4 linked regions of the Struthio camelus genome follow. The protein of the gene in region 4 interacts with the protein of the main gene of each other region in a biochemical or structural test. Links are inferred from orthologs where the notes say so. Each region holds a gene or a part of one and is shown on either strand. Other genes may lie near its edges. The genes, in order: PDGFRB, LCP2, SH3BP2 and PLCG1.

Evidence for each region.
Region 1: the proteins of PLCG1 (region 4) and PDGFRB form a complex in vitro, tested with the Homo sapiens proteins (3 studies listed by BioGRID and IntAct, with this or other methods). The link is inferred for Struthio camelus from reciprocal best matches to the Homo sapiens genes PLCG1 and PDGFRB.
Region 2: the proteins of PLCG1 (region 4) and LCP2 form a complex in vitro, tested with the Homo sapiens proteins (2 studies listed by BioGRID). The link is inferred for Struthio camelus from reciprocal best matches to the Homo sapiens genes PLCG1 and LCP2.
Region 3: the proteins of PLCG1 (region 4) and SH3BP2 form a complex in vitro, tested with the Homo sapiens proteins (2 studies listed by BioGRID, with this or other methods). The link is inferred for Struthio camelus from reciprocal best matches to the Homo sapiens genes PLCG1 and SH3BP2.

Annotation. Positions count from the first base shown.
Region 1 is NC_090954.1:7,334,297-7,341,808, forward strand, and holds the start of PDGFRB (platelet-derived growth factor receptor beta), read right to left. Parts: upstream 3,016-7,512; 5' UTR 2,890-3,015; coding exon 2,850-2,889; intron 1-2,849. UniProt on the Homo sapiens protein: Tyrosine-protein kinase that acts as a cell-surface receptor for homodimeric PDGFB and PDGFD and for heterodimers formed by PDGFA and PDGFB, and plays an essential role in the regulation of embryonic development, cell proliferation, survival, differentiation, chemotaxis and migration.
Region 2 is NC_090954.1:19,271,798-19,279,641, forward strand, and holds the start of LCP2 (lymphocyte cytosolic protein 2), read right to left. Parts: upstream 3,056-7,844; 5' UTR 2,818-3,055; coding exon 2,740-2,817; intron 988-2,739; exon of another isoform or gene 797-987; intron 1-796. UniProt on the Homo sapiens protein: Adapter protein primarily involved in signaling pathways within T-cells, as well as other immune cells such as platelets, mast cells, and natural killer (NK) cells.
Region 3 is NC_090945.1:76,988,743-76,995,832, reverse strand, and holds the start of SH3BP2 (SH3 domain-binding protein 2), read left to right. Parts: upstream 1-3,953; 5' UTR 3,954-4,715; coding exon 4,716-4,825; intron 4,826-7,090. UniProt on the Homo sapiens protein: Binds differentially to the SH3 domains of certain proteins of signal transduction pathways. Binds to phosphatidylinositols; linking the hemopoietic tyrosine kinase fes to the cytoplasmic membrane in a phosphorylation dependent mechanism.
Region 4 is NC_090959.1:7,244,839-7,252,099, reverse strand, and holds the start of PLCG1 (1-phosphatidylinositol 4,5-bisphosphate phosphodiesterase gamma-1), read right to left. Parts: upstream 3,108-7,261; 5' UTR 3,021-3,107; coding exon 2,819-3,020; intron 2,312-2,818; exon of another isoform or gene 2,297-2,311; coding exon of another isoform or gene 2,206-2,296; intron 1-2,205. UniProt on the Homo sapiens protein: Mediates the production of the second messenger molecules diacylglycerol (DAG) and inositol 1,4,5-trisphosphate (IP3). Plays an important role in the regulation of intracellular signaling cascades.

The sequences.
Region 1 (7,512 bases), on a different chromosome or scaffold from region 4:
CATAGACCCATGAATAACAAGGCTGGAGGGGAGACCATCAGGTCACTGTTGTGCTGTTGCACCACATCCTCCCCAGCCAGATGCTGCCTAACTGGCCTGGGAAACCTGCAGTGCTGAAGGCACCCGGCCTCACTGGGCAATCTGTCTGCAAACCCGCAAAAGTTCTCCCTAAAAGTTAACTTTTTGCTTTGCAGCCACCTTTCACGTACTCAAGGACTGCATGCCACCTATCCTTGGTGTTCAGCTATCGAACAGCCCCATCGACCCTTCTTTCAGCCCTCTTGCAACCTTTTCTGGCCTTCTGATCATTCTTGGTGTTTACCCTGAACCTTCCCAACTTGCGTGCACCTTTGCTGAAGTGTGGAGCTCCAGCCTGGACCTGGCAACTGGACCCGCATTGCTCGGAGCAGGGGACCCAGCCCCTCCACGCCGGCGTGGGATGGGCCCGCGCACGCCGCCTCCAGCCGTGCTCCTCTCGGCACATCCCACAGGAAGGGCTGCTGGTTTCCCTGTGCCGCACAGCGCAATCTGGTTTGTGTCCACTGCAGCCCCCGGATCCTTTCCCACACTACACGCTGCCGAGACAGTTAGCTCCCTAGATCCTGTAGAGCCGTTTAATGCTTCCTTCCTAAACACAGCACGTTGTCCCAACTCATTTTTGCCTGGTTAACTCCAGGCTCCTCCTTGAGCCCACTGGGATCATTTTGAGCTCTGATCTGCCAAAGTACTGGCTGCCCACCCGAGCCTGGCGTCCGTCCAGCATTTAGTACATGCGCTCTGCCATCGTCCGGTCTGTTAATGCAAAGATTGCGCAGAACCGAGCCCAGGCCAGAGCCCTGTGGGACCCCACTAGAAATGCCCCAAACATTTGACAACAAGCCATGGCTAAGTACACCGACTGCAGTATTACAGCGGGTTGTGCCTCTACCGTGCTGGTGTTTAGACTGTGCTTCCCTTACAGACTACTGGCACCCTGCTTAGGTGCTAAATGCCTGGCGTTGTGTGGGGCTATGGGAGGTGAACCAAGGACAGGTATTGAGGTGGCTGCAGCCTTGAGCTCCGTCCTTCTGATCTGGAAGAAGGGACATTTGGTTTTAGGGGGAAAAAAAAACCCATCCTTTTTTGTGCTGCAAATGGCTTGCTGTGACTTCTCGCAAACACCAACCCCTCTTGATGCACTGACTGACTCAGAGGTGCTTCCTGGCCCCAGGGGCGCAGCCCCTTGATGGGGATGGCAGCATGGGCCGCCCATGCTGGGGTGGCAGCAACATCAAGGAGTGACTTTGAGCCTCCCATCAGTCGTGTGCCCAGGGCAGGCTGCCAGCCAGAGGCAGCTACCTGGCTGCTCCACCACCACATCAGCCCAGCGAGTGCCTTCTGCCAGGCAGAGCTGTATCTCTGCTGCTGGCTCAGGCAGCCTAAAGGAAACGTGCCACCTCCCTGGGAGCATGGGATGCACAGACACTTTCTCCTGGCCCTGTGCTGGAGGGGGGAAATGGCCCGAGGAGCACTGAGGCTCAACTTTTCTAGCCCTTGTCACTAAGGGAAGAACATCCAAAAAGATTAGAGCCTGCCAAGACCCTGCAGACGGGGTTTGCATGCCAAACCCTGCCACCAGCCTCCCAGCAGCTGCTGCGATCACTGTTTGCCAGCTGCTTTAGCAGAAGTCCCAGCTGCTCTGGGACAACGATGGGGCAGCACAACATCCCTTTGCACCCCGAGCCCTGCTTTGAAAGCTGCCCTGCTGCCAGCTGACCCCACACAGGCTGGTTCCCGCAACGGCCCTGAAAAGCCCTACTGCGAGCACCAGGGTTGCAGACATCCATCTCCGGGGCCGGCCTGGCCCGTGGGGACAAAATCCAGCCAAGGGCCAGTGACAGAAACGGCACGTCCCTGGGAGCATTTAGGGACAGCTATGGCTGTGTTGGATGGTTAAAGCTCCAGCAACGCTGCAGTGCCTGGAAAGCACTCAGTACCCGTGGAAACTATGGGGGGAAACACAAACCGAAGCGCTGCCCTGAAGCATCTCCTAACTCAGCAAGAGCCTGCGTTCCCACGCCGGCCTCCTGCGAGCCGCCTCGGAGCCACGTAGCGGGTGGTGGGGAGGTGGGCAACGGGGTGCCTCTCGCCGGCAGGCCTTTTGCGGCTGCGGTGCCCGTCCCCAGGCTGCCCGCGGCGCAGGCAGGTCCTGGGGATGGGGCAGAGAGAGACGCACGTCCCCCCACCAGGTCCCCCGCGGCTGCGGACATCACCGCGGGCCGGCTCCCCTTGCAGCCCCTCTGCCGGGATAAGCACGCTCATGCCTCCGAGAGACACCTCGCTGCGATGGGGACTGGCCCCTTCCCACGCACGTCCCAGCTCTCCGATAACCACGGGGCCGGAGGACGAAACCCAGGGACGCCCGGCCGACGGCGGCACACGCTGGGATGGGGCACAGGGGACTGCGGCTGGCAGGACCGCGAGCCCCTGCGCTGCACAGGGGGGGCAGAAATCCCCCTGGGTCCTGGCTGCCACTGCAGCAGGGGGGTCCCCGCGCTCCTGCCCCGTGGTCACACTGTCCCCATGGGTGCTCTGCTCTCTGTCCCCCATCGTCCCAGCCCAGGAGCGCCTCTTGGCAGCCTGGCGCGAGCTTACGGGACGGCTTTTCCCGCGGGATGCTGCGGCTCTGGGCTGCTCTTGGCGGGACGTCTCGGGGCGCCAGCCCCCCCCCACGGGGCAGAGGACCCCCTTGGGGCAGAGAGCGCTGGGGGACCGCGGGCCCGCGCCGCCGGCCACGCTCGGGGTGCGCCAGCGTGACGGCCGAGGCGGAGCGGGCGGGCGAGCAGCCCCGGGGGGCATGGCGGTCCTACCTTGTGCGGCGTGTGCAGCGGGTGAGCGCCGGTGCCCCATGTCCCGGGGCGCCGGCGCCGCGGATGCCTCGCTCTCCTCCTCCGCTCTCCTTATCTGCTGCTTGCTGAGGCTCTTGCTGCCCTCCCAGCCTTCCCCAGCTGGCAAGGCTTTTCCACTTAAAGCAGAAACAGAGGGAAGGGAGAAAGTAACAGGGGGAGGAAGGGAAGGCGGGGGGGGGGAAAAGAAGAAAAAAAGCAAGGACAGGCTGTGCCAGGGCTGGGCTGCAGCCAAGGGCTGGGTCTGCTGCCCTAGTGCATCCCCGCAGCGCCCCGGGCAGCCCCCGGCCGCCTGGGGGGGTCCGGCCGCCTCAGGCCCCGGCGTGCAGGCCAGCCCCCGGCGGAGGGGTGTGCACGCGTGTGCGTGCGTGTGCGTGCCCGTGGATAAATAAAAGAGACCTTGGGAGGAGGAGAAGGAGGGAAGGTCCCGCTCCAATGAGGAGCTGAGCGCCTCCGACTTCCTCCTCTGCCTGCTTTCTCCCTCCACCCTCCGCCGGGACCATTCGCAGAGCAAAACTTTCGATTAAAGCCCCAACGGACGAGCGCGATGAGGTTACCCGGAAAAAAAAAAAAAGACAAAAACAAAAGGAGGAGAAGGCAAAAGCGGCTGCGAAAAGAGGGGGGGTTTTGCCGCAGGCGGCCGATGGGGGGGAGCGGCAAGGGCCCAGCTAATGGGAAACAAAAGGAGCCCGAATCGCCCGGCTCTGGCCTCCTTAAACCAGAGGGAAGGGGGCTGCCCTCTCCCTGTGTCTGCTTTCAATTCTGGCCTTTTTCCCTGTTTTCTTTTTCTCGCTCTCTTCCCCCCCCCCCCCCAAGCCCCCCTCCCCCCCCTTTTTTTTTTCCTTTCTCAGGATATGAGGGGATGTTTAGAAAATCCGCTGCCCACGCCAGCAGCTGACTCATGTTTTTATTAAAGACGGCCTGTGCTGAGCTGACTGTGCGCCGTCCCTTCGGATGCCTCCCCGGCCGCCCGGGGACTGTGACTCGGGCCGGCGCTCGGGGACCGCCAACGCGCGCACGCCGCCCGCTTTAACCCCACCCGGGGCGCTCGAGGGCACGCGGAGGGACGAGCCGAGTTGCCCCGAGGACCTGCCTGGCTTTTTTCACTATTCGCAGAGAGACCCTCGGCGCTCCCCTTCCCGCCCCGGCCGCACGAGGCGCGGGCGCTCGATGCCTGAGCGCCCCTAAGGGCTTGGGAGCAGGTTAATGGATGTGCTTTAAATCTCCCCCCCCCCCCCCCCCCAGTGAGTCTGAACAAATTTAATGAGAATCTCTGAATAGACAAAGCATTGCCGTCGGTCCTTGAGAAGAACCGGGCGGTCGGCTTTGCCAGGGAAACGAGGTGCAGCACGTCTTTGGGTGGACACCATCTCCAGAACGATCAATTCTTGCCTCAGTTTCTTTCTTGAGGTTGTGCCTTAATCTGACTCCAGAAAAAGAAAAACAGGGAAAAAGTAATGTTTCCTTAAAGAGGAGGCTCCCCTGAGAAGATACGCTTCTTGGCTTCTTTCTTCCTTTTCCAAGAAAATCTCCAAACCCTTCCCATAAAGACCACGCTGCAGAAACGGGGGGCTGGTTTGTGTGCTGGGGGGTGGCATCCCCTCCGGCTCTGCTCGGTCGAAGCACGCACAGCCGGGACAGCTAATGAGTCACTGCGCGAGGCGAAGAGATTGCGGCTTATCTCCAGTTATCTCCAGCGTTTTCTAGTCACTGACGAAAAGCCAAGGCGGAAGCATTGGACCCCGCGCTCCAGTCTGGTGGTGGCAAAGGAAAGCGAGGGCTCGGGCTGCGGTGCTTCACATGGGGCAAAACGCGCCGGCCCTGTGCCCGGGTGAGGTTTGGAGAGCGGACAGGGAAAGTGGCAGCCTGAGCAGGAGATACGGGTCCGGCTGAGCCCAGAGCGCAGCGAGATGATGGAGAAAAGGAGAGGATACAGGAGAGATGTCCCTAAGGATGGGGAGGGGGCTCTGCACTGGGCTCCGCAGGGAGGTGGCGTGAAGCTGGATGAAGAGGTGGCGGCTGGGGACAAGTGGTGGCAAAACCCTGCTGATCCCCTGCGCCGATTTGGCCGGGGTCCCTGGCTCCAGGTGCGTGGAGGCCTGGTGAGCAGGGCCACGTGGCAGGGGGGCCCGGGCGGTCCCTCCGGATACGGGACCATCTGTTGTGCAGAGCCCTTGAGCGGGAGACTGGGCTCACGTAGGGCGCAGGCGAGAGGGAACGTGCTGTGCACATGGCTGTTCCCAACACTTTTCCCAAAGGACAGAGACACGTCTGACGGGTCCCTGTGCAGGGACATGTGGGCGGGTGGGAATAGCTCTGCAGAGCAGCGCTCTGCAACATCTCTGCTCCGGGCTGGTAGGACATCTCTGCTCCTGACCCAGTGAGGCCGAAAGCCTGTGGTGCCGTCCTGCTGGGCCATGCGCTGTCCCCCTTCCAGCGGGGACGGGTCTCCGGGCCTCTCCCAATGCCCAGTAGCCTGTGGACACCAGTGTCCCTGCTGAGCAGAGCTGGCCACACTTGGGCCGGCAGGCAACGGGGCAGCCAACGAGGGGGCTGCTGTGCTCCGATTTTGGCTGAGTGCTGCTTCCCAGCCCCTGAGAGGGGATCGATGGGAGCTCGCAGCCACGCAGCCTAGCAAGGAGCAGGGAGCGGAAAAGCAAGCTCTGGCCATGCTTGAGGGCATGAGCCCCAGCTCCGCCGTGTTCCCCCTTCTCCTCCCTGCAGACGGGTGACCCCAGCGCTCATCCCCGGGCTGGGAGCAAGGACAACCTGGGCGAGCAAAACCCTTTCCTGAGAGAACTTTTTATGGCTCATGGGCCGTTGTTTTGGGATGCTGGGAGACCCTGCAGCGTCCCGGAAAGCACACGGCTGCTGCGAGTGTGCGGGGCCGTGCGCTTTGTTTGGGAACATAGCGCACTGGGGTTAAAGCAGCTCCTGGGAAAGGCCAGCTCGGAGGAAGCGCCAGCGCCGGAGGGACGCTGCGTGCAAGCGCGTGGGTGGAGGGCAACAGCTCACCTACCTCCGCCTCATCCCCTCTTCTTCGCTCACCTCTATTTTTGGCTCCTGCACCCCCGCTGGTGGCGCTTGCAGGACTGAGTGCTTCCCTTGGGGCTGGGACAGCTGCAGCGTGGGCTGCCAGAGCCCCTCTCAGCTGAGGTTTCCAGCCTCGGGCAAGCCCAAATAAGTGGCACGAGTGTTAACAGGAGCTTGGGGCTGTGCAGCGTGGCCCTTCTGGTGCACGAAGCAGCTGCTGGGATAGGGACATTCTGGGGTATTTGGACTGCGCTGGCAACACCAGGATCAAAACTGCATCCCAACCTCCTTCCCCCATCCCAGATGTAGCTGGGACCCTGGGAAAAGGCCATAGCTTGGGCCTGAGGTGGAGAAGAACCATTCTCCACCTAGTGCCCCAGCGAGGAGGACCCAACATGATGGAGAGAAAGGACGGGCTGGAGTCAATGACAAGGACCCATGTGCCAGCAAGTGAGAGGCAGGTGAGAAAGAGGAGGCAGAGCTCAACCTCTCCTGCTCCTTGCAGGCGTTAACAGGGGCCAGATTCCCCTGGGGTTGCAACTCCTCTGAGCCTCTCTCGGCAGAAAGCCAGGAATTTAAGCACCGCTCTGATGTGGTGTTGAACCTCAGACCACAAGAAAGAGGCGACTGGTGCTGGGGAGCAGAGAATAACATCTGGGCAAGCCATCCATCATGATAGCTGCCAGCACTTGCTCCCAGCTAGATTGAGCTCTCGGCACAGATACTTCACCCAGCCTTTTCCAAAGCTCTCCTCCGGAGGAACTGCTATGCTGTGCAGGGCCCCGCTGCTCGGGAGCTTTGCCAGGACGGCGGTGGGTGACAGCAGAGCCCGGTGCACCAGGATGAAGGGCTGGGGACAGAAAGTGCTGGGCTCCTTCCAGGGAGATCATCCAGCAAAACACAAGGGACTGGGGGGCTCCCCTGGCTCGTGCACCCTGCTGGGCTGGACGAAGGGCAGTTCCCGGGCTTTCCGGGCAGTGTCGCGGCTGGAGCGCCATGCCATGGGGCTGTAGCACTGACCTGCGCGCCCTCGGGGACGTACCACGGAGCCGTGTGGCTGTACGTCCCAGTGCTGAGGAGGTGCTGGGTCTGCTGCAAGCGACGGCCGGTCCCGGAGGAGCCGATGCTCAGAGGCAGCCGCTTTAGCCAGCAGCAGGGATGATGCTAGCACAGTGCCTTTCCCCCGAAAAGGGGCCTTTCCGCCCCCATCCCACGCACTCTTCCTAACCCCCGCGACGGGCCTTGGTATTAAATGTGCTCGGCGGAGCCCTGGGAGGCGGCGGCAGGCTCCTGGGTGAATACTAATAGCGGTGCCGTCCGGTCGCCCCAGACTTTCCCACACATCTGCAGCCACTTAACGTGGGAAGCGTTAACCCTCTGCTTGTGCAGCGCCTGCAGGGCCTGAAATGCTGCAAAGGAAGGAGCCTCGCGGGCAGCCCGGGGAGCTCCCCACTCGCCCCGGCCTCGGCTCCCGGCAGCCTCGGCTCCCGGCAGCTGCGTGTCTCCCGGCGCAGGCTCGCTCTCTCTGGCGCAGCGTTGCCATCGGGTCGGCGGTGCTCAGTGCCCGCGCAGTGGCATGGCAGGCGCCTGGTCC
Region 2 (7,844 bases), on a different chromosome or scaffold from region 4:
CCTTCAGTGTATTTTCACATATTTAGGAACAAGAAAGTTCCTGGTTCTATTCGGATAAAATTTAAATGTAAATTGAGGGACTCACAGAAATAAAATAAAATAGCCACGTTTGGAAGTACATGACTTTTAACTATTTCCAGTGGGTGCGTTAAGTTTTAGATTTGAACTGAAATAACATCATGTAAGAAAACAGCTTATCTTTTAGATCTCTAAGGGATTAAATACATTAAATATAATGGCTAGAAGGCATTTCTTCTGTTTCAAGTAGGTAAGTCCATGGCAGAAGGAACCCAAAGAGTAGGCAAAGTGACTTCTGGGAGAACTTTTTATTCTCAAAATAAAAGAATGTCTACAGCCTCGTCTGGGGCTTTAGCTAGTCAAAAGTTATACAGCTAACAGATCTTGTACTGCTGGGAGTCTTAAAGGGAACATTATGTCCTTTCTTCTTCTTTTTTTTTTTTATTCTAGTCAATTTTAAGGAGTACAATTAAATCTTGTAACTAGTTGTTGTTTGAGACCAGATCCTAGAAACATTTGAACAGCTGAGAGTTTATGGGAGCCACCTTCAGTTACTCATATACAGAAACAGACCTAACTCTGCTAAACATTTTCAAATGCATATTAAAACTTGTGCTGACTGAAGATTTAAACCTATAAATAATAACTCTTTCATATAGTGAATACCATCACAGTATCGCCAGCACAATCCTGACAGCAGCAACGAGCAACTGCTAACCAGAATTGACAAAGGTCTTAACTTCCACTGCCCTGTGACATGACCACATGATCGCTTTGTTAGGTGATGGTGGACTTGAATGTGACTGATTGATTGAAAATCATCCCTCCTTTGAAAATCATCCCTCAATTATCTCAGTGCAGCAGGAAAAGATTTGCTCATCCCTCTTGGAACTGAAGTCCTGAACATGGGGCTGCAGGATACTTCCAAGGCAAAATACATCAGTCAGATGAAAATAAAACATTGTTAAGGTATAGTACTGGACCCTTTAATCTATGTGTGAGGGAAATGGTATGGGTTAATTTGGGGAGAAGGATCTGGTCACTTAGCCCGGACTTGTCTAACTTAGGTTGACATCATTGTCTGACAGATTTCCTATAAGACTTTGAGTAGCTTTTCTTGGCCCTGATTCTCCTGTCCAAAAGAGGAATGCTAACATTACCTCTATCCTGGAGGGTGTCTGTGCATCAATAAAGGGGAGGTACTCAAAAACCCGTGTACCAATTATGATAGAACTTAGAGTTGATCCTTGTATTGCTGCTAAGAAAATCATTAGCAGCTCTTTCAGGAAGCCATTTCTTTTGTTAGTCTCTTGGAAATGGTGATCCAAACCACCATGCACCAATGCTGTAATGTCTTCCTTATTCATCTGCAATTGGTTGTTGGTAATAAGCTCATCTGCTCTATCTCTGCTTCTTTGTTCCACTGTACTGTGCTGCTAACCACTGTGCCTGGAATTAAAGGTTTGCAGATAGCTGGCAGTTTCACTTCTCTGGAGATTTTGCAAATACTGATTTTTTTGTTTGATCTGTTTGTTGCCTAGTTTTGCATTCTAGTTTCAAACTTGCCCCAACTCCCCAAAGAAAACTACGAAAACTGTTGAAACCATGAATTTTGCATGATTTCAGTGGCAAACCCTGAAGTGACCCTGTTTTTTTTTTCCCCCCAAGACTAGTCTGATAGCTCACTTGAAAATGAACACATGTATGCTCACATTGCTTGAAAATGTTCCCAAATCTTTTGATTGATCTGAATGTTAAATTCCAAGCTGACAGTTTTGGATTTGAGGAGGAACATATTCTGCAGCAAGGGAGATAGACAAGGCACTCTCTCTTATGTGAATTGAAAAACGATGAATTTGCAGAGAACATATAGAAATGAAATTTCAGTAAAATTGAGTCAGTTACACATTCCTGAGCAATTACAATGGTGTCAGCATTGCTATGTAGAAGATTAACACTGAATTGCCATATTACCTTTGAAAGTATTTCTTAACTGTGGAAAATCCTCCACCTTGTAAAATGAAATTTAGAACTGTTCACCAGTGAAAGGTATGTTAAAAGAAGCAGAAGTCCTTAGCTGACCACACAAGGTAATTTCAGAAAAAGTAACAGTGAGGGGAGAAAAGGGGTGGCTAGTAACCTTGATGAAAAGCTCTCTCATAAACAGGGGAGAAGTGAGGAAATGACCCATGAGTTTCATCCAGGAAGTTTTCAAGTAGGAAACTAGAACCACAAGGCAAAAGGTTTTCACACTGACCCTAAAAAACCCGCAGGAGTTCTTGTATCCACATCTGCTGAGTTCCTGGCTGAGTTCATATGGATGCCTTGATTAGCAAAGACATTCAGAATCTCATTTGTGAACATCGAGCAATTTGAAAAATCTCACTTCTGAAAATCATTGAAGAAGACCTAGAAAGCTTGTAATCTTTACACATTAATGTATTTTACAGCCTTCATCTATGTTTTATCAACAATTGTTATAGTAGTGTGTGCATTTGCTCTGCAAAGCCATCAGTTTCTCTTACAGTTAATTTAAAATACACTTTCAAGATTCATTTATAGGTTTTACTACCAAGTTTAGCTCAGTTTCTTAATTGGTGGTGGTTTTTGGTTTTATTTTTGCAACAAACTTTTTCTGTTAAAAAAAATCTATCTTTAGCATAAACATTTCGCAGTAGTTTGCTCCTCTGTCATACAAAGACAAAACACAGTTAAACTCACCGTCTTAAAATATTCTGCTAAGTCATCCGGGTTCCAGGTAACCACGTCTGAACGATAGGGAATGTTTCTCAAATCCATTGTAAGTAAGTTTTCTCTTTCAGGCAGCTAGAGAATGTTCATGCCAGTAGTGTCAATGAAATTGCCATGTATTCCCTGTGTGTGATCACCTCCAGCACGTATAAATAAATGCCCAGCTCCTTCTCTTTAGCAGACTTTTTATTTCAGAATCACGTTGTTAGCACATCCAAGAGAGCTACTGCTTCCTCTAATACAAAATGGTCTCTTCTCAGAAAAGTTGTCAGCTAGTCAGCCTTACCACTTCCTTTGTCTGTATATATAAATAAGTAAACAAGGAAGCACAGCAACCTGTTGAAAATGCTCTGCTTGCTGCATATAAGTAAGCTCCTATGGACTCTATTTGCTTGTAATTACATCAGAGCACGTCTTGGCATATTTCTATACTATATCCAGTATAAAAATACTGGTACTGCACTGATCTCTGCTGCACTGATCTCTGCTTCTGTGCCAGTCTTGCCCAGGCAGTCTCTGAAAACACAGAAAAGTTTACTTAAGAGAAACTTCTTCACCCTATCTCCCTGCCTGGAGTGTCACATTGGCTTTCTATATTATAATCTAATACAATTCATGCGATAGGTTTCTCAAACTCATATGCAAATTCTAATTAGCAGGCTCTCCATTATGTCTGTGGATTTGATCAAATCATATGTGCATAGCAGTATGCTACTTTATATTACATACAGAAAATAAAAGGTTCTTGTTGACGTTGAACATAAGAAGGTATGAATGATTTAGGAGTGTGAATACAGTCATCATTTGTTCAGTCTTTCAAATTTAGGGTGATGACTATCTCTCAGTGAAATTAAAAGACAAACGTATAAAAAATGACTATATTGCCATTCTTTCTCCCTCTAGCTCCATTTCTTAGCTGCCTCTAATGAGCATTGTTATATGTCTGAAAAAGAATCCACAGAACCATAATATTACCGCAGGTACCTGACAAACAGCATCTGTCATGTATAGCCAATTCCTGCACCATCCATTCAGTGAGACCCTTTGGTGAGAGTACATCGAGTAATTCAAAAGTCACCTGTTTTTTTAAAAAGACCTGGCGTGTTCATTCTCACTTTTCTTGATATGGAGCTTCCTCCCCAGGTTGTACTGGTGTGCATGCTTGGGGTCACGGTCCGCATCTGCTCCAGTGGAGAGGACAGAAGGTGGTATTTTGTGAACTTTCTATATTAGAAAGAATAGATCATAGTTCTGAAGCACTGGAAAGGAAAGTTTCTCTTCTTTCTAATGAAATGCCTCACTCTTGCTCTTTCTAGTCATTGAAGACCTTCTGACATTGGGCCGCAAATTCACAAGTTTATTGCATACAGCTCTAGTTGAGATAGCAGTCTCTGTAGTATTATGCATGAGAATTTTCCTTTTGAAATGTATAGTCTTCATTTGATTTAATGTAGCTTGCTTTTTTAGAGAAACATTTTGGGAAATGATGGCAGCAAGGTATTTAAAATTCTCTAAAACTAAACTGCTGTAACAGCTGTTCTAAACACAGCATAGAACTTAGCAAATACATGGTAGAGCTAAGTTTTATTGGTTCTTATTTGCACTGGCCTGTATAAACCATCGGAAGCATATACTGACAGTATCGCAGAAACATCATCACCTCTTCATTTTAAATCTAGGTCTAAGGAGGAAATAAGACTAAATGAACATGTGACAAAGGAACCCCAAAGGAAAAGTTGTTTTGATGGTGTATCAGCAGCAGCAGTAAAGAGGAGGTTACATGACATCTATCTCTAACTCCCCACCGGGCACCATGAGGTCTTTCAACAAAGAAACGGTTTCTTCCAGTACAGACACGTGAAGAAGACCATGCTGTAATTTCTGACTGTTCGTGCAATTACAGTTTTTCAGTACATTCCACGTGGCTCTGGAATCAAATTTCTATCCCAAGGTAAATCTAATGTAACAACTCCAATTTCAATGGTATTATTCTTTACTTACAGTAATATAAAAATTATTAGCTAAATTAAAGTTTAGTCTGACATTGTTATATGTTCAAAGAGAAAGTCGGTCACCTTTAAAGTCTATCTACTATTTTAGAGAGCCACTAACACAGAAAGTCTTAACACATTGAAGTCATCATTATTATTTGCTTGGATCCCATGATGGATGATCTTTTGTTTTATGTTGTGAGTCACTGTAAATATTTTGTAGGTACATGCTTATTGCATGCGTTTTACAAAATCCCAGCTCACACTGACTTGAGCTTTCTCTTTGTCTAGAACCATTTTTTTTGTAATTTGATAAAGGCATAGGATGTGGTGGCCGTGTCAGGGTTGCTGAGAAAACATAACTTTGAGTTTTCTGCATTTGAATTTTTAGCTATACTGCTACATTAGTGTAACAATTTTGAATTGCATCGCTAACCTATGTATGTATTTTAGTGCGGAAAATGTTACTCAGCTCACAGATAACCACACGTGAGTCACATCCTCCAATCCCAACTGAACTGCATAGAGTTGTTGTTATGAAAAATGCTTTAAATGTCTTTCTTTGTGGCCCAGAAATGTAATTTGGCAAATCTATATTCAACAAAGGGAGATCTTGGTCCTGGAAAAAAGAAAAGGACATAATTGCCTTTCTCTTTCAGTTTTTCCCATGTTCACTTTTCTGGCATTTCCCCACTTGTTTATTGCTTCTCTCTCTCTCTTCAGAGCCACAGTTATTGCATCTAGAATCAGCACTTTCTCGCAGTGCCCCTGTTGCTGCAGCGTCTTCTGCTCATAGAGAGGGAACTCCCAACACTGTAATGGCTGCCAAGAGGGGAAATTGAAAAAGTTGAATGTCCAAGTTTAGGAAAGCCCATGTCTAATCTCTAGTCAGATTTGGGTAGGAGGGTAAAGAAGGATGTTAGGGAAGCAATAACATCCAATTTTTATGGAGGAAGACGGAATGACTGCAGGGTGGTTGGGTGAACCACAACCAACATACAAGGCCACAGAGAGCTCTTGTAGAAGAAAGCCAAGTTTGACAAGCTACATACAGGAATTCGATTGTTAACTGAAAACATTTCAGAGGTGGCAATCCTCACTTTCTGCTTAGATCCTGCTATTGTGTTTTTCATGAGAGGGAATGATCACATGCTTTTAGATCTTAGTAGTCCCATCTTATGTTGCAAGTGAGGACGGAAGTGAAGACAGAATGAGTTTGCAGGACAATACACATCTCTTCTGTAATAGAATTTGTTATAGACATCAGATGGCAATCTTCCATGAAATGGATTTAGATTCAGATTTCCAAATTTCTCCTAGATTTCCAAATTCTGAGGAGAACGTTCATGTTACAACTGTTACCAGTTTCATACCTATTTCACTGTGACCTTTTTTTCCCTTTTGAAAGAATTAGGTCTTTTAAAGTCAATACCTGCAGTGACACAACCTTGGCATAAAGAAATATGCCTCTTCTAATAACAGCTGCCAGCGGAACAGTTTTTTCAGATGTAGCAATGGTCTGCTAAGCAGTATTTGAAATCTGAGAGCCTAGCCCTTTCAGGTAAAGTAGGAGGGAAATTCACGTTGCCCACATTCTGCTGTGTTCAGAGGGCCTCAGTACTTTCCATGTCCTCTCATCTCTTCTGTCCCCTAGCACCCTGCTCAAAGTGGAATCAAGGGCTTACTTAGAACAGCTTTCAGAGTGGTTTATTTTTCTGCAAAAAATAAACAGTTGCCAGGTCAATTTTTCTAGAGCCAAGCAAAAAAAGTTCAAATTTCATATGAATGTGGTCTTCATGTTCATCTCCAGCCCAAAGCAAAGTGGATTTCGATGACATGTTTTTCTGTAGTCCTGGCCAGTATTGTTTTTCAAAGTCTCAGGCAATAATTTTTTTCTTTTCATCTTGGGACTATTTATTATTGCCAACCTACGTTTTCTTTTATCATTGCATCCTCTCATTCCGAGTTGTATACATGCCTATACAACATGGTAAGAATGTTTTCATTTTTATGCCATTTAAATATCTTCCTAGTAATGTTGTATATTCCTTACTGTCTTTAATAATCACTAAGCCACACTTGCCACTCCTTAAATGTCCTTATCCATTATTCCCTTCAATCTTGCAGTCAAATGTTAACCTTCATTTTGCAATGTCTGTGCAGTAATAGAAGATGCAGAACCAAGTTTTTCAAAAGTTAACAAAAACCTCTTTGGCTGGATTCTAATTACAAACCTGCCTCACCACCTAGCGGCTAGCCCGCAGAGAACACCAGTGAGTAGGGACCACTATTTTAAAGCAGAGGCATGGCACACTGATTAGCTGACACTGTACCAGTTTGGTACTTGGGTTAAAAACTAGGTTATGGTTATGCCACCTTCCTAAGAATAGCAGTTGAGGTAGATGCTTACCAGCCTACCTGCATCTGAAATAAAAGGTTTGACTGAATCTATATCTGAGATACAGGCTTCAAATACTATTTCATAGAAAAATTCTGCATACTGTTTCTGAGCTCCAGCCTCAGCAATAATTTTTCTGCATGGAAAAAAATGTACATAATTGAAGAAATATAGCTTTCACTGTGAGTGAATTGTACTAGTATGAGTAGGTGGGAAAATGGAGTTTAGGCAGTTATGAAATGCCTGAAATCCTAGAATATAGCCACTAGAGTGCAGCTGAACTCTATTCAGAAATCAGAAAGGCACAAATACGAACTAAGTTGCTGTAAAAAGGCAAATAGTTTGAGATACTTTAGCGGTAGTATAGTTTCCTTAGGTAAATATTTCGTCCCACTCTTTTAGGGTCATATGTGGCATAATGTGTCTCATTTATCCAAACAAACTGGAAAACCGCAGAGGAGAACTAGAAGGGACTATGTCTACCGAGGAAAGGCTGGAAAATGTTTTGCTTAGCCCGGAAAAGGGAAGTTGGGAAAGGGAGAAAGAAAAAGGAGACAGACTTGTTTGGGAGATAGTGATCAGTTGTACTCGTGCCCTTTGGATATGAAAAGCTCTGCTAGCAAGGAAGGCAGCTGCAAGCTTGAAATGTAGGTATTACAAACTGAGGAGTTCGCCTGCCCAATAGT
Region 3 (7,090 bases), on a different chromosome or scaffold from region 4:
TACCTTGCAGTCTGCTTGACAAGACCCTTACGTACAGGAAATTGTTACAAGGAACAAAGAACCTGTCCATCTGGTTTGAATGCTATATGAGAGTGGAAGTCTTATCTTGATAATGTGTCTTCAAGTTTATTTTAAGAAATATGATAAGCATGCTGCAAAAACGTTCAAGAACTTGCCTTTCATTTTAAGTATTTTAAAAACTTGTTTTCAACAGATTTGAAATCTTGTAATTAAATTAAGCCTTCTTTAAGTAGTGAGGTACTCTGGGTGGAATTGTATGCACCAAAGTTTGTTTTTTGTGGTGCTGTGAACTCCTGAGTCTTGTAATAGAGGACACAAAAAACGTACTACTACTCCCCTTGCCAGCAAGTGTGAGGTAGATTCATCTGGAATAGATGCATTGTATAATTCTTCTTGCTCTAAAGTCCTGGCTTAATGTGTCTCAAACTTGCTTATTTTGAGAATTGGAATGGAAAAATTGCACTGTTTGGAGGGCTTGTCTGCGTGACGCAACTTCACCTGTTCTGTTGGCACAGTCTGAGTGGGGTTGGCTGTGCTTGCTCTTCTGTAGGTTTGAGGGGCTTTTTGATTCAGTATAAAACCCTTAAATTAACTAGAAAAAGCTACTTATAATAAAATTGCCAGCAAGAAGATTATGCCGGGATAACTTTACTGATTTTAATTCAGTCCTTATTTATGTCAGTATGACATCTTAGGTTATTTTTCAGGGCTGGCTGTTACAAGAGAATCTGTTGAACAGTAATGTTGTATTGAGAGTTTGCAGACGGTTCCTCTCTTCCGGTTGCGGAGTCTAATCCCTTTTATACAGGCTATGCCTGCACAGTAAAGTACTTTGTGGCAGTACTTTGGTCTAGAGGCAGCTGAGCAATGTACGACACGAAGTATATCCCCAAATCAGTGTCAATACATTGTCTTCTAGGACCTGTGTCAAGCTGTTTGGTGAAACAACCAAAAGAAAATTACAGCTTTGTTTTAAAATACTTGAGCTCTTTTTCTTAAGTATGGTATCTTTTTGGCCGACTAGTGCTGCCTGCCTCTTCTGAAGACCCAAGTCAACAATATGCCTATACGTGTTCGTAGCTTCGCAGCAGCAGGGTATAAATAGAGACTGAAGTTTTCGACCTAAAACGTTTCTGGGTTTTGAATTGGATATGTGTTACCAAAGCTTCAGCTACTAGGTTTTTGGGGTGGGGTTTTTTTTTTTTTTTCAAGCTCTTCCTTAGTAAGCAGAGTGAGGGAATGGCAGCTGAAGTTTACAGAATTTGAGCTCATTTGGCACAGAGAGAGGATTTCTGGTAGTTTTGGCCTCATTCCATTCCTTCATTATTAATTTTTTTTTTTTACTGTTATTCTGCAGGTCAGCCATCAGAAGCGTTTCTGATGTGTGGTTATTCCTGTTTTCACAGGACTGCCTTACCTAACACATGAAGGATTCATGTGAGTAACTTCCACTTTTTCTTTTAGGTTCCGCAGTTGCAGAGCGTACTGTTTGCAAATATATCGTTTCTCGATATACTGGATGTGTCTTCCACTGATCTAGAAGCTTGGTATGAAACAAGTTTGGTAGAATTAGTAAAACAATAAGACTCAATCTATTTCTGATTCACAGAATCACAGAAAGGTTTAGGTTGGAAGGGACCTCTGGAGATCATCTCAAGCAGGGTCCTCTAGAGCGTGTTTCCCAGGATCGCGTCCAGAGGGGTTTTGAATATCTCCAGGGAAGGAGACTCCACTACCTCTCTGGGCAACCTGGTCCAATGCTCAGTCACCCTCACAGTCAAGAAGTTTTTCCTCAGGTTCAGAATGAACTTCCTGTGTTTCAGTTTATGCCCGTTGCCTCTTGTCCTGTCGCTGGGCACCACGACAGTTCATCAAAGCCAGTAGAATTGTAACAAATTTTTGCCTTGTTTTATATATTTCTGTAAAAGACTGGTGTAGTATGTATGATCTCTAGTGTTACTCTTGGTGGAACCTGACTGCTAAGCTGACAACTTGCTGTGGCTGCAGAAAAGTGGATTTTGTTACTTTCTTTTCTTTCTTCTTTTTTTTTTTTTTTTTTTTTTTTTTGCTGCTGGGACTTTCAGTCTGCTTTTACTCGCAGTCCATTCTTGCAGTTTCCTGTAAATTGGTCAGTAAGAGGAAGCTCTCAGTGCTGCAGAGACAGCTCAGCCCTGCAACTACACTAGTGAATTTGTACTGGTAAGGACAGCGTAGTGTTGCATGTGTTTTACTGCTCTAGCTTTACAGAAGCTTGAAGTAAGTTGCATTGTTTTTGGGGAGCAAGAGGAGTTTGTAATGATGGCAGATACGATTGACAGTCTTCCTCAGGCAGTGGTCCTGCTGCAGTGAAATTCAAATGTCAGTTGATTTTTTTTTTTTTTTTGATGTTTTGACTCTGCCCATTAAGGCTATCTGAATTAAAAATGTCATAGTGTTAAAGAAATGAAGTTCCTCCTTTTGGGTGAAATCTTCCCTGGGCTAGGTTGGTGGAAGGCCTTCTGCCTATAGATTTTGCAGGGACAAATGCATATTAATGGTGTGAAAGCGACATGCCTGGCTGTTTTGCAAAAATAAATTTCACATTATGAAGGAGGATATATTTCTCTTTCACTTCTGTAACAGACAAGTTAATCAAGGACATAAAGATTTCATGTCTATTCAACCTCTTTATCTGTGGTTGAAACACAACTGTTCTGATTAATGACCAGTCTAGAAAGTTAAGCCTGTGTGTTTTTTTTCTTTTTTTGTTCAATATTCTTTCAAAACTGTGGACCCTATAAACTTTTTTGTTCCTCACTGGAACACCAGCTTGTATTGTGTAAAATGTCTGTTATTCTGACTCTACGTTCTTCCTCTATGATCGTCTTGACAGGGTTGGAAATCACCAGAAAAATCAAAAGGGGATCTGGGAACTTGAAATGAACAGTGTGGCTCTGAGTGCCTAAGAGAGGAAAGGGAGAGGAGAGCAGCAGAAAGATCAGAGTCGAAAAGCAGTACTTCGGGAATGTGTGTTGGATAAAGTGAGACTATGGAGTCCAAACAGCATCAAATTAAAGTTGCGCAGTTTGAAGGGGAAAACTAAGGCATAGGTATGTTAGATCTGAAAATGGAAAGAGGAGCAGTGTATGCAATTCGGGAGAAAATGAACTCAAATACTGTCATTTTAATCATAGTTTTTCACTGAGGTGGAGATAAAGGTGGCAAAGATGGTAATGCAAGCTTTGAAGAGCATGCTTAGATAGCAGAGAACTCTTAGAGTATAGCAGAGAGCTAGGGGAAGAAAGATTGCTTTAAACCATTGTACGTGAACGCTTAAAGTTTAAATGGGTGACTTATATTGTAGTAGTTAAACAACTGAATTTAATGCACAAACTACAGCTCTACAGCTTTTCTGTTTAAGAAATCTGTTAATTAACCACTGAGACAACTGGATATTTATTTATTTATTTGTTTATTTAATATCTTCTAAATATTTTTCAGGATTTTGTCTTGATATGCTATTGTTTCTGGCTAGCAACAGGTGATGCTTAGTCTCCTTGCCCTTCCAATATTCCCTGGTTATGGAAGGAGTGCCAATGGGTATCCCAAGGTGAAGAAGATAGAGAATTGCTTTTCTACCCTATATATATGGCTAGTATGTGAAATGTTGTCTTCTTCTCTCCTTTGACTGCTGGGTACTTTACAGAAACAAAAGAATTTGTACAGAGACTTCTTCCTTCCCATTTTGGAATAGGGATTCATGCCATTTTTCCCAAAATACATGAAGTAAGCTTTATTCAGTGTATCAATCTATATAGGTTTTGTCCATCATTCTGACATAGGCTAGCTTTTTTCCCTTATCTGAACTTCTTAGCCGTGTGTTGGTTAATTCCAGACAGCCAGTGAAGTATTCAGATCTTTTTATTTTAAGAACTCTGGATGAATACTATTATAAATGTAAAACAATGGCATTTGTTTATCATCAGTTGGTGGCACTTGCCTGTAGAATTGTTCCCTTTAACTCATGGTCTCCTTGGGTTAGATTTTTATTGTGTTTGGTGGTTTGAATAGTGTCAAACGTACTGACGGTACTTACTACAAACTGTGTATATCCTGCATAATCTTTCAAAGTGGCCATTCTTAATATTTTGAGTTGGAGAGAAAGAAAAGCTCTAGTGATAGTGAAAAAGAGATGAAATACTCACCATATTTCTGTGTTGTAGGGCAGGTGCTGAAGCGCTTGGCGCTCTTCAGAAGCACCAGGCAATTTTTCTGAACTGTGCCTCTGCTGGTCTGAGAGCCTGAGTGCACTGTAAGAAAAGTGACTACTTTTTTTCCCCCCCCTCCCCTCTCCCGTGGGAAAGTGGTTGATTGAAAGATGAATAGGAAGCAACTTGAGCACTGGAAAATCCCCTCTGCAGTTTGGCTCACTGTCTGACAGAAGTTGAGATATACATGGCTTGATTTACAACCTCTCTGGGAGATTGGGAAATCTGACAAAGACAGTGCTGCCCACTAGCACTGGGGGAAACAGGAAGTAACAAAGGAAACAAGTCATTGCCTAGGCGTCCCCTTTGGCCACACTGCAGTGCAGATGCACGAGCAGTTGGGGCAGGGTTTCTTTTCCTTTTGTGTTGAGTGTACAGCAGCCGTCGCAGTCACACATTGAGCCTTATTATACACAGAATTGGGAGCAGCGCAGAGATGCCCCTCTCATGTCCGAGAGGGGTCATAAGTTATTAATGGCTTTGTTATTGCAAAGGAAGCGATCGTTTGGTGAAACTGTCAGCAGGAAAACTATGTGTCGATCAAGCATGGTCACCAGGTTAGTGCATGTCTATCTGTGGCTTGTATTTCTGTGTTCTTTCCTCTTTTAGGTGGAGAGCAGACTAAAGCTAAGAGTAGAATATTGTATTTGGGAAAAATATTCTTTACCCTTGAATTTTCTACATTAATTATTAGAGGGGGAAGAGATGAGAAGAGTTGGAACTGCTTGCCTGAAAAGAAAAGCAAGCTGAAGCAAGCTGAAGTGTGTGCCTCAGTCAGGCTTAGTTCTCTGTCCCCTTTGTCCTGTAAGATCTATTTGACTTCCCAGTGTTTGTGCTATGCTATTAATCCTTCTGAGAGACCATTGTGAAAGGAGCTGTTAGAAGTATTAGGAAATGGAACGTGTAACCCCCAAAAGTGGGAGAAATACGGATCAGCATTTCAGAAATACTGAAAAATATTTAATAAATGAAGAATAATCCTGCAGACATTTCAGGACTAGAAAAGAGTTTTGAGAACAGATGGTAAATGTGTAAACTGTTGAACTGAGAACTACTTTTTGTTCAGTCTTAATGAGAGCACACTGGGGAAACTTTTATAGTTCTACTATACACGTAATGCTACTTCAGTTTTGGCTAAATCATTTGCAGAGACTGAAACTTAAATCTCCCTCTGCAAGGTATGTGGAATGCATTCGTTTTCATAAATTCTATGTGCATTCAGAAGCAAACATCTTGCTGTGCTAGGTTTTACTTTCCAAATAGAATCTAGAGGCTTTTATAGAGTTTAGAAAGTCCTTAGATTTAATTTACATTAAAATAGCTTGCGATGAATTTGGATCAGATTCAATTTTTGTAATGCAGTTTTGGAGTCTAGTTTTTTTTGTTTATTTTTCAGCATGACCAGGCTCCAGGATAGACTGTAAATATTATTATGACAAGTGAGGACTTTTAACGCAGCTTTTGGCAGCGGTAGTTTCAGAGATGAGAGTAATGTGTTTTTACGCCTGTATGCTGCAAGATGTGGAGCTCATCACATCTGCTGTATGTTACACTTGAGTTCAGGAAGAACTGAGGACTCATGGCTCTTTCAGGATGCAATCCTTAGTTGAATCAGCCTGTATTTGCTTTAATTTGGCTGAATGCTGATAGCTCTTAAGGCCAAGAGGGGTGAGTGTTCTTCCGTAATGTATTCCAGATTTAATGTGGTAGAACTTTATTTTTACTTTGTTTGTTTGCTTGTTTTACTTTTTTAGGGTTTTTTAGCCTGTGAAATTATACCTCATACTCAAATCTAGCTATTTTCTATGCATTGACTGAGGGGATAGGTTGAAAATTACTTCATAGATGTGTACGTTTGCACATTATACAGTAACAGCAGCCTGTACGGTGTTTGCGGTTGTGTTTGATAACAGTGTCATTATGATTCAGAAGAAACTTACAAAGCAGCACGGCCTTATCAAGGGTACACCATGAAGTGCATAAGTTCACCTTTCTTCATGCCGTTGTGAGTTTCATGATACAGATGCCCTTCTTTGTGCTAAAATGAAGGGCACTTTATTTTGATAATGTCTAAGAAAGGTATATTCAAATGATAGACAGGGTTGGACTGACTTGATGCATTAACTGTGCACTGCAAACTGTTTTGGTTTTCAGTCTGGCGGACTGAAAACCAACATACATACGTTTGCAGCCGGCAAACATACACTTGCATGTATGAAGCAGGTACAACAGTACTTGCATTAAGTGCTGTATCTTGCTGGAGAGCAGTGTAACTGCACTGTTCCGTCTTTCAAAAAACGGTTGAAGCAGTTCCTATAAAGTGCTGTTCCAGTGTTTCTCCTACTATACTCAAAAGCCTATGATCTCCCTCAAATGGTCACAGGGATCATAAGATCACTGTCTGCTGTAATTCTCTTGTGGCTCAGAGGTCTAGTTCAGTGCCATTTCAGTGAGGAAGGAGGTTGGTTTAATAGCCACTTGTAATGGGTTTTGGGACGTGATGAAGACTTAGTCTAAAAATATGTATCTATTTCCTTGGTGACAGGAGTGGGAAGGAGCATGTGTGTGGCTATTACTAGAAACTAGCACAACACAAAGCACAAGTGTTGTTGCATTGTAGTTTCTAACAGGACAGGCATCAGCAAGTGAGCGTGGCTTGTCCTTGATGGCACTTGGTGGACCCTTTCTATTAACTTCATTGTTAACACAATGGAAGTGCAATTAAGTCAATGTAGTGCAAGACGGTAACTACATAAAAACCACATCTTGGAAATATCTTTCTGCTCTTAATGATCATAGAGCTAATAGGCTCTACAGTGACT
Region 4 (7,261 bases):
AGAAAGGGGCACAGATCCTCCATGCTGAGGTCTTCATGGAGACAAATGCATCTCCAAGACACAGACATCTACACAAAAGTGCCCTGAGACTGAGGCCTCTGTAGGTGGTATGCTGCAGATACCTGTTCTGAAAATGCATAAAAAAAAATTAGGATCATTCTTATTTAGACAACTAGCTTGTGTCCAGGGGAGAGTGAAGCTCCTTTTAGGTCTCCAAGTCTCAGGAAACACAATAAATTCATTACCAACCCATGAACATTGCAGTTTTCGAATTGTAGACCCCCCAAGCATCGCCCAGCACAGATGCTGTTCCATGCAAAAGAACATCAAATGTCCTGACAACAGGCCGCTCTGCTCAGCTCGCAGTCTTGTGCATATTCGACATGAGGGCCTGGACAGTTCTGACACTGAAAGCCAAGCCCAGTGTTCCCTGCCAGCCCCAACCATCTGCTCCCAGTCCTGGCATTGCTCGCCTTCCTCAGGAGAACTGAATCAGTCACTGCTCTTGGTTAAACCTAACTGAAAATGGTCAGCTTGACTCCAGCTCAGACTCTTTACCCTGGATCAGACCATGGCCAAGTGGGCCCTGTGCCAATCAAGGGTAGATTTCAAGAGTGGGATGAGCCAGGAGAGAAATAAGTCAATGCATTTGTCATATAAAACGCCATACGTGGAACACATAATTGCCACATTTCTTATGAATCTATACATCCGGGGTCTCCCAGGCATCCTTTTTACACCCAGAAAGCACATTCAGATGAAAATGGGGAAACTGGCCAAGTGTTCGGGATTGCTGGGCAACAGGACACCCTTTCTTCTGGGTGCTGGGAGGAGGAGGGAACTAAGGCCAACAGCTAAGGTGAGAGGAGGTAGGTGCAGAGAAGAGGCCATGTGTAGAATTTGCCAACGACAACAAAGTTGCTTTGCTGGGCATTAGTGCATCTGGCATCAGAGACAGCTTGGGGAGGAAGAAACCTCTTTACGGTGACATCTTATTGCTATAGTACCACCCATCTCGACATGTCAGAAAACACACGCCTTGGGAGGGCTGCGCTCAACATGGGATGTGAGGAACATGCTGGGGACCATGAGCACAAGGCCACCAGGGCCAACTCACCAACAACTTTCTGCTACGATGTTTAAAGGGACATAAGGGAACGAGGTGTTCAGTGACCACTGACTCTTATTTTTCATTTGCTAGAAACACATGGATTGCCTTTTTTTGATTACCTCGGTCCCTGGAACTTGTTCTCTGCTTTTACTGGTCTGGTCTTCACCCTATGCACAGCACAGTAAGTCCTCACCGGCAAGACATTATAAGCATTGTTACTACTACAGTTTTGGTGCAAGAAGTTAAAGTTCTCTAGGTTTCTCTAAAATTAAGTTTTCAACATTTACATCTGCACATGGGAATAATCACCCGTGTACAGGGCAGCAGGTACCAGAGCCCCTCCAGGGGTTCTTCCCTCACAGGCCCTGGTCCCCCACTGCCACAAAATGCAGCATCTTGCCAGCAAGCTAATGCTTTTCCATATTTTAAAAGTGACTTAAATCCAGGGCAAGCCATGCCTCAGGCTCCTCCCTCTTTCTCCCACTGCCTGAAAGCTCCTAGAGGCCACCCTGAGAAAGGTATGGAGGAACTTAACATCCCACGATGTTAATGGGGCTGGGAAACCTAGGCGTCCTCCAGATCCGCCTGGAGGAGCTGTTGGGGAGAAGCTGGAAGACTCCAAGGGTTTTGAAGCAAACGAAAGCCCCAGATTGGACACACTAGCATTTGAGGTCCTGCTAAAGAACTGTGTCCATCATTTCCACGTCCTCTCTTCATCTGAGCCCTCTGGTAACATTAAATATTTCCAGCCTTTCCACCCTGGGCCAGCAGAAGTTAGCAGAGGACAGACGACAACCTCCATCGAAGCTGCACTGTGCCTCAGTCACATCCCTTAACGCGCGGGATGGTGCTAACGCACGACAGTGACGGCACCAGGATTTACGTCACCTCATCTTTGTGCGTGTCAGCTCTTCCTCTCCTCCAGAGCCAAACTAGAGACAGTGTCCTCAGACTGGTGCGCATGGGGGTGCAAAAGGTAACTTAAAAGAAACAGCAGTAAGCTAGGAAACCAAAGCAAGAGGTTAGAAGTCTCCTGGTGTGGGGCCTCCCTTCTCTCTCTCCCTTCCCACCCGTCTTTGTGGTTTTATACTCACGTTTCTTATGAGTCTTTTCTCCTACCCTCCTCGTGCTAAAGAACCACGTCGCCCACGGGAAGCCGAAGCCAGCAAGCAGCTCCGCACACATGGCCGCAGACGGGCCTGGACCCGCCACGCCAGCCCTGACCCCGCATCAGCCTTCACGGCGGCACAAAGGGGCGAGGGCAGGAGGCAGCGCTGACCTTACGGGGCGTTTCGGTGCACTTTCTGGCGTTGGGTTTCTTTGGGTTTTTTGTTTTTTTGGGGGGGAGGGGGGCTGTTTGTTTAATTTCATCCGTTGCTCTGAGGTGTAACCCCCACGGGGCTCACACGGCCGCTGTTGCCTCCTCCCGGTGCGCCTTACCCGGGGCAGAGGTGCCGGCTCCTCCGCGGCAGCCGGCGGTGCACGGCACCGAGGACGGTGCGGGAAGTTTCCACCCGCCGCGTCCCGGCAGCACCGGCGGGGCCGGGCCCGGCGCTCGCCCGCTCCCGCGCCCCCCCCGGGCCGCCCCGCCCGGGTCCCCGCCGGGGCAGGACAGCGCAGGGCAAGGCGGGCCCCGGCCCCGGCCCCGGCACGGGCGAACCAGGAAACCTCTCCCCCCGCCGCCGCCGCCGTTGTTCCCCCACTCACCGGCGCCCTCGAGCTTCTCGGAGCCGCGGCTCCAGGTGACCTGCCGCGTCTCCAGCTTCACCTGGAAAGTTTTCCTCTCGGGCCGCTGGGATTTCTTGGAGTAGAAGAGGGTCATGACGGTGCCCACCTCCAGGCTGCGGCAGAGGTGCGCCGCCTCGGCCTCGCTGGGCGCGCCGGGGCCGCTGCCCGGCCCGGCCGCCATTAGCGCCCGCCGCCGCCGCGGAGCCGCCGAACAAAAGGGAGCGGGAGCGCCCGGAGCGCCGCCGCCGCCGCCGCGCTCAGCGCCGCCCGCCGCGCCCCATGCCCGCCCGCCGCGGCGGCCGGCGGCCAGGAGGCGGGCGCGGGGGCAGGGAAGGGGCGGCCGCGCCGGCGGAGCGCGGCCCCCTCGCGGTGCCGGCGGCTGCGCTGCTCCGCTGCTCCGCGCCGGGCCCCGCAGCCCCGCGCCGCCGCCGCACAAAGGGGAGAAAGGGAAACTGCAGGCTTTGGCTTTAGCACCCCCTGCTCCGACGCGCGTGGGGTCCTGGTGAGCCACGCACCGCGCCGCCTGCCCGGTGTCCCAGGAGGGCCGCGCACCCCACGGCGCAGCGCTCGGGCGTCCCAGCGTGCCGCGCACCCCACGGCACTCCCAGGCTCCCAGGTGTGCCGTGCACCCCACGGCACGGCTCGCATGGGGTCCCAGCGTGCTGTGCGCTCTGCAGCGCTTGTGGGGTCCCCGGAGTGCCATGCTCCCCACAGCGCGGTGTGCTTGAGGTCCCAGCGCACCCCGCACCCAGCAACCCACGTGGGCTCCCAGCGCTCCCCGGCACGTGTGAGGTGCCAGTGTGCCGTGCGCCCCATGGCACAGCACACGTGGGGTCCCACGGCACGTGTGGGGTGCTGGCGTGAACCTACCAGCGCGCCGGTGCACAGCCAGGAGGGAGCCAGCCGAGCCCCCCGCAGCCCCCCACACCTCGCGTTGGCAGCGGGCGCTTCTGGGGACGCGAGGTGGTTTCCACCCTGCCGCGCTGCGAGGGGTCGGGCGGGAGGGTTTTGTGCTCCCTCCAGCCCCAGGGGGGTCCAGCCCCGCGGCTCCGCTCCCGGCCTCCGGCTGCAGCAGCGTCCTCCTCGCCGGTCCCGGCTCGTGGCTAGCGTTGTCCGACGCGGCGACGTGGGGCTGCCCGGCGGTCCTTGCCGCGGCCTGCCGACGGCCGCTCCGCAGGGCCGCGCAACTTGAGCAAGACTGGCTCTTTTGGGGGCTAAATCAGGTGAGGGAGGCAGTGCAGGCCGCTAGGTGGGCGCAAGGTCTCGCCCTCGCGGCCGGCAGACGGGCGAGCGCCCACCGCTGCCTCTGGCCCCGGGGGGCCGGGGCAAGAGCAAGGCCGTGCCCCAGCGGCGGGGGAGCCGGCTCGGTGCAGCAGCGGGAGCTCGTGCGCTCGGTGCGGGCCGCAGAGGCCGGGGCGAGAAGCCCCCCGCCCGGGCTGAGCCCCCCTCGCAGCCAGCTGCCCCCCCCCAGCTGTGCCGCCGCAGGGCTGCGCTCCGCGGGAAACAAAAGCCGCCTTAGCAAGGGGATAAGCGGCTGAATTGGAAAGCGGTTCTGGACCGTTTGCTCCATTCATGCAGCTAAAGCCTGCAATTTCCCTTTCCCCCCTCCCAGCCTTCCTCCCCGCTGCCCTCCTCCCCCTCGGGAGGCTGCCGCCCCGCAGGGCTGCGCCTGCGGCCGTCTCCCGGACGCCCGGCCCCGGGGGGAGACACCGCCGTTGGCCACCCCGCAGGAAACGTTGGCGACGAACCGGCCTGCTTGAAGGCAAGCGCATCCCCATGCTGTCTCCCGCCCAACCTAAGGGTACCCCGCACGCACCCCAAACGCAAGCCACTGTCTGTGTCCGGTTACCCCCCATCCGGCGTCTAAAGGACAGGCGCAAGCACATGCAGGTGCCCAAGCAGCCCTACGACGTTCACGGTTTTAAAGGATCCTGCCCAATTCCTAGGCGTTAAAAAGACCAGAAAGGAAAAACAAAACCGGGATAAGAACCTAAACCTGCCCGCGTCAAAACGACCTGCACGTTGACGGCACCGCGAGCCAGAGAGCAAGCCAAAAAACGAGCTCCACGCTGCGCTTTGCCCTCCTTGTCCTCAGAGCAGCTTCTCGCCGCAAATCCGATTGCCGCGCGAGCCGGGGTCGGCTCGCCGGGGTCGGCTCGCCGGGGTCGACGTTCAGGCTCTCCCCGACCGAGGGGCAACGGGGCGCCGGGGAGGGGAGCCAGCTCAGAGATGACCTGGGGCGACGGGACGCTGGGCACGCGCTCGGAAAAGGCACAGCTGCCTGGAGCAGCTCTTACAAACACGTGGCTGCAACGCAGCCCCGGTGACCCCGGGCGAGCCTGGGCATCCCCAGCGGCGGCCAGGTGAGCCCGCTGCTGCCGGCGTGGGACCGCGGCGCGGGGGCCCCGGTTGCGCACGCACGACGAAGGGGCGACCTGCCGCTCGCGAAGGGGAAGCTGCTCCCTTGCTTGTGTAACAGCCGCGCTCGGGACCGGCAGGAAGCAGCCGGCTCCCAGTGGTCCGAAAATAGCCGAGCGGCATGGGCACACCCTTGTTTTTGAGGGCAAAACCTGAGAGGGGAGCCTGGCTAGTGAGGAAGCAGAGAGGTAACTTATGGAGCTGAGCACGTGGGTATATCTGGTCATTACCCGCCTCTGTGAGTAGGATGGGGCTCATAGGGCATAGGGACATCTGGTCCCCGCTCCTCCTCGCAGCTAACGGGACCCCAGCGCCGTGGCTGACGCCTGTCCAGGTGCCACCAGTCCGGCTCGTACCGACGCAGCGAGGCAGCTGCAGGAACACGTCTCCTTCCTGCTGCCTGCTCGCTCCCCCCGAGGAGGTTATCCGGCTCTGCTGAGCTCAGGGATGGGGCACGAGCCGCTACGGCAGGTCCTGGGGGAAGCAAACGCCACCTGGTCCCAGCCACACGAGAGCGTCCGTCTCGGCTCCGCCGGGGCTGGCCAGCCCTGTCCTGCCGCTGCGAGTGGGTGCCTGGAGGCAGACGGGCCGCCCGTCCTTCCCCTGTACGTCCGTGTCCCCTCGGCACCGGAGACGTGGGTCTCTCGGGCACGCATGTTGAGCTGGTGGTTTGCAACAAGGAGCCTTGGCTGGATTTTTTTCTTCCGCAAGTTCGACTAACCACCTTTTAGACCCACGTAGGCTCTCAGTGCTCATGCTGTTGCGTGCCAAGGAATTTCACAGCTTGATTTTACAGCACGCGAAGCTGCTTTTGTTTGTCCGCTGCCTGCTGGCCTCGTTCGGCAGCCCCCTGCTCTTGTATTGGAGACAGTGAGCAATCACACCCAGCCACCTCCTCCAGCCCCTGCGGACTGCGTACTCCTCGGTTGTCCTGGGGTCTGATCCGGGGTGGGCCACGCTGGGAGCATTCTGCTTTTGAAGCACTTCCCCGTAATCACCTTCGTTGCACGGCTGGGGAGGTGAGCGGGGCTCTCCAAGTTTCTCTTTGCAAAACCCCTTGAGAGAAAGGCTTTCTTCACCTCGGCAATGGCCCCAGCACCTCCCCTGCATGAGCCCGGCCCCCAAAGTCCCTGGCCTGATCTGCAGTCCCAAGCATGGGGTGCCAACCCCCCCATCCTGCAATCCTGCATGCGTTCACGCAGCAGCTGCATCCTCTGCCCAGGAACAAGCAACGGGCTAACACCCAGGTGACCACAGGTTTAAGGACAGACTATGGCCTGGCTCAAGGTCTGGTGAGAAAAATCTAGATTAAAAAAAACCTGAGGCCCCCCCAGAGGCATCGCGAAGCCCAGGGGAAGGCGCTTCGAGAAGAGGTGCCAGAACCTCATCGGAGAGTTACTCAGTGTCTTGCAGCCTCCTGGAGAGATGAACCGTGCCCCGGGTTGTTTATTCACTGCTTTCTGCTCTTGTGTTGCCGTAAGCAGAGCTGCAGCCCCGGGGAGCTCCCCGGTTTAGCGAACGAGCAACCAGCCCGAGGGCTGTGAAAATCGCTGCTGAGGACGAGTGTTTCCTGCCCTTGCAGCGAGCAAGGAAAGGCTCCGCAAACTCCGACGGGGATCGCGGTGCTGGGTTACCTCCCGCCCTCGCGCCGTGTTAGCAGACACGGAGCAGCGCGGGCCTTTTTTTTTTGGCCTGGGATGGAAAGCAGAGCCGCCTGGGGCCGCGGAGCCGCCGAGGATCGCTGGCGCGCTGCCTGCTGCCTGCGTTAGCCGCGAAGCCTGGGACGGATCCGTGTCCAGCAAGGCAGGCCTACCTCTCCGAGCGCCCCCGCCTGCGGCTCGCCCCGCCGTCCCCCTCGCCCCTGCTCGCGTTTCAGCATCCCTCCGGATTATAAAATGCCGGCTGCTGCGAAACCCACTGCAGCTCCAGATTCACTGTCCCCCGTCTTCGATTTTGCTATAAAACCATGTTATTTATTTATATCTTGAATTCGTCCGGCTTCAG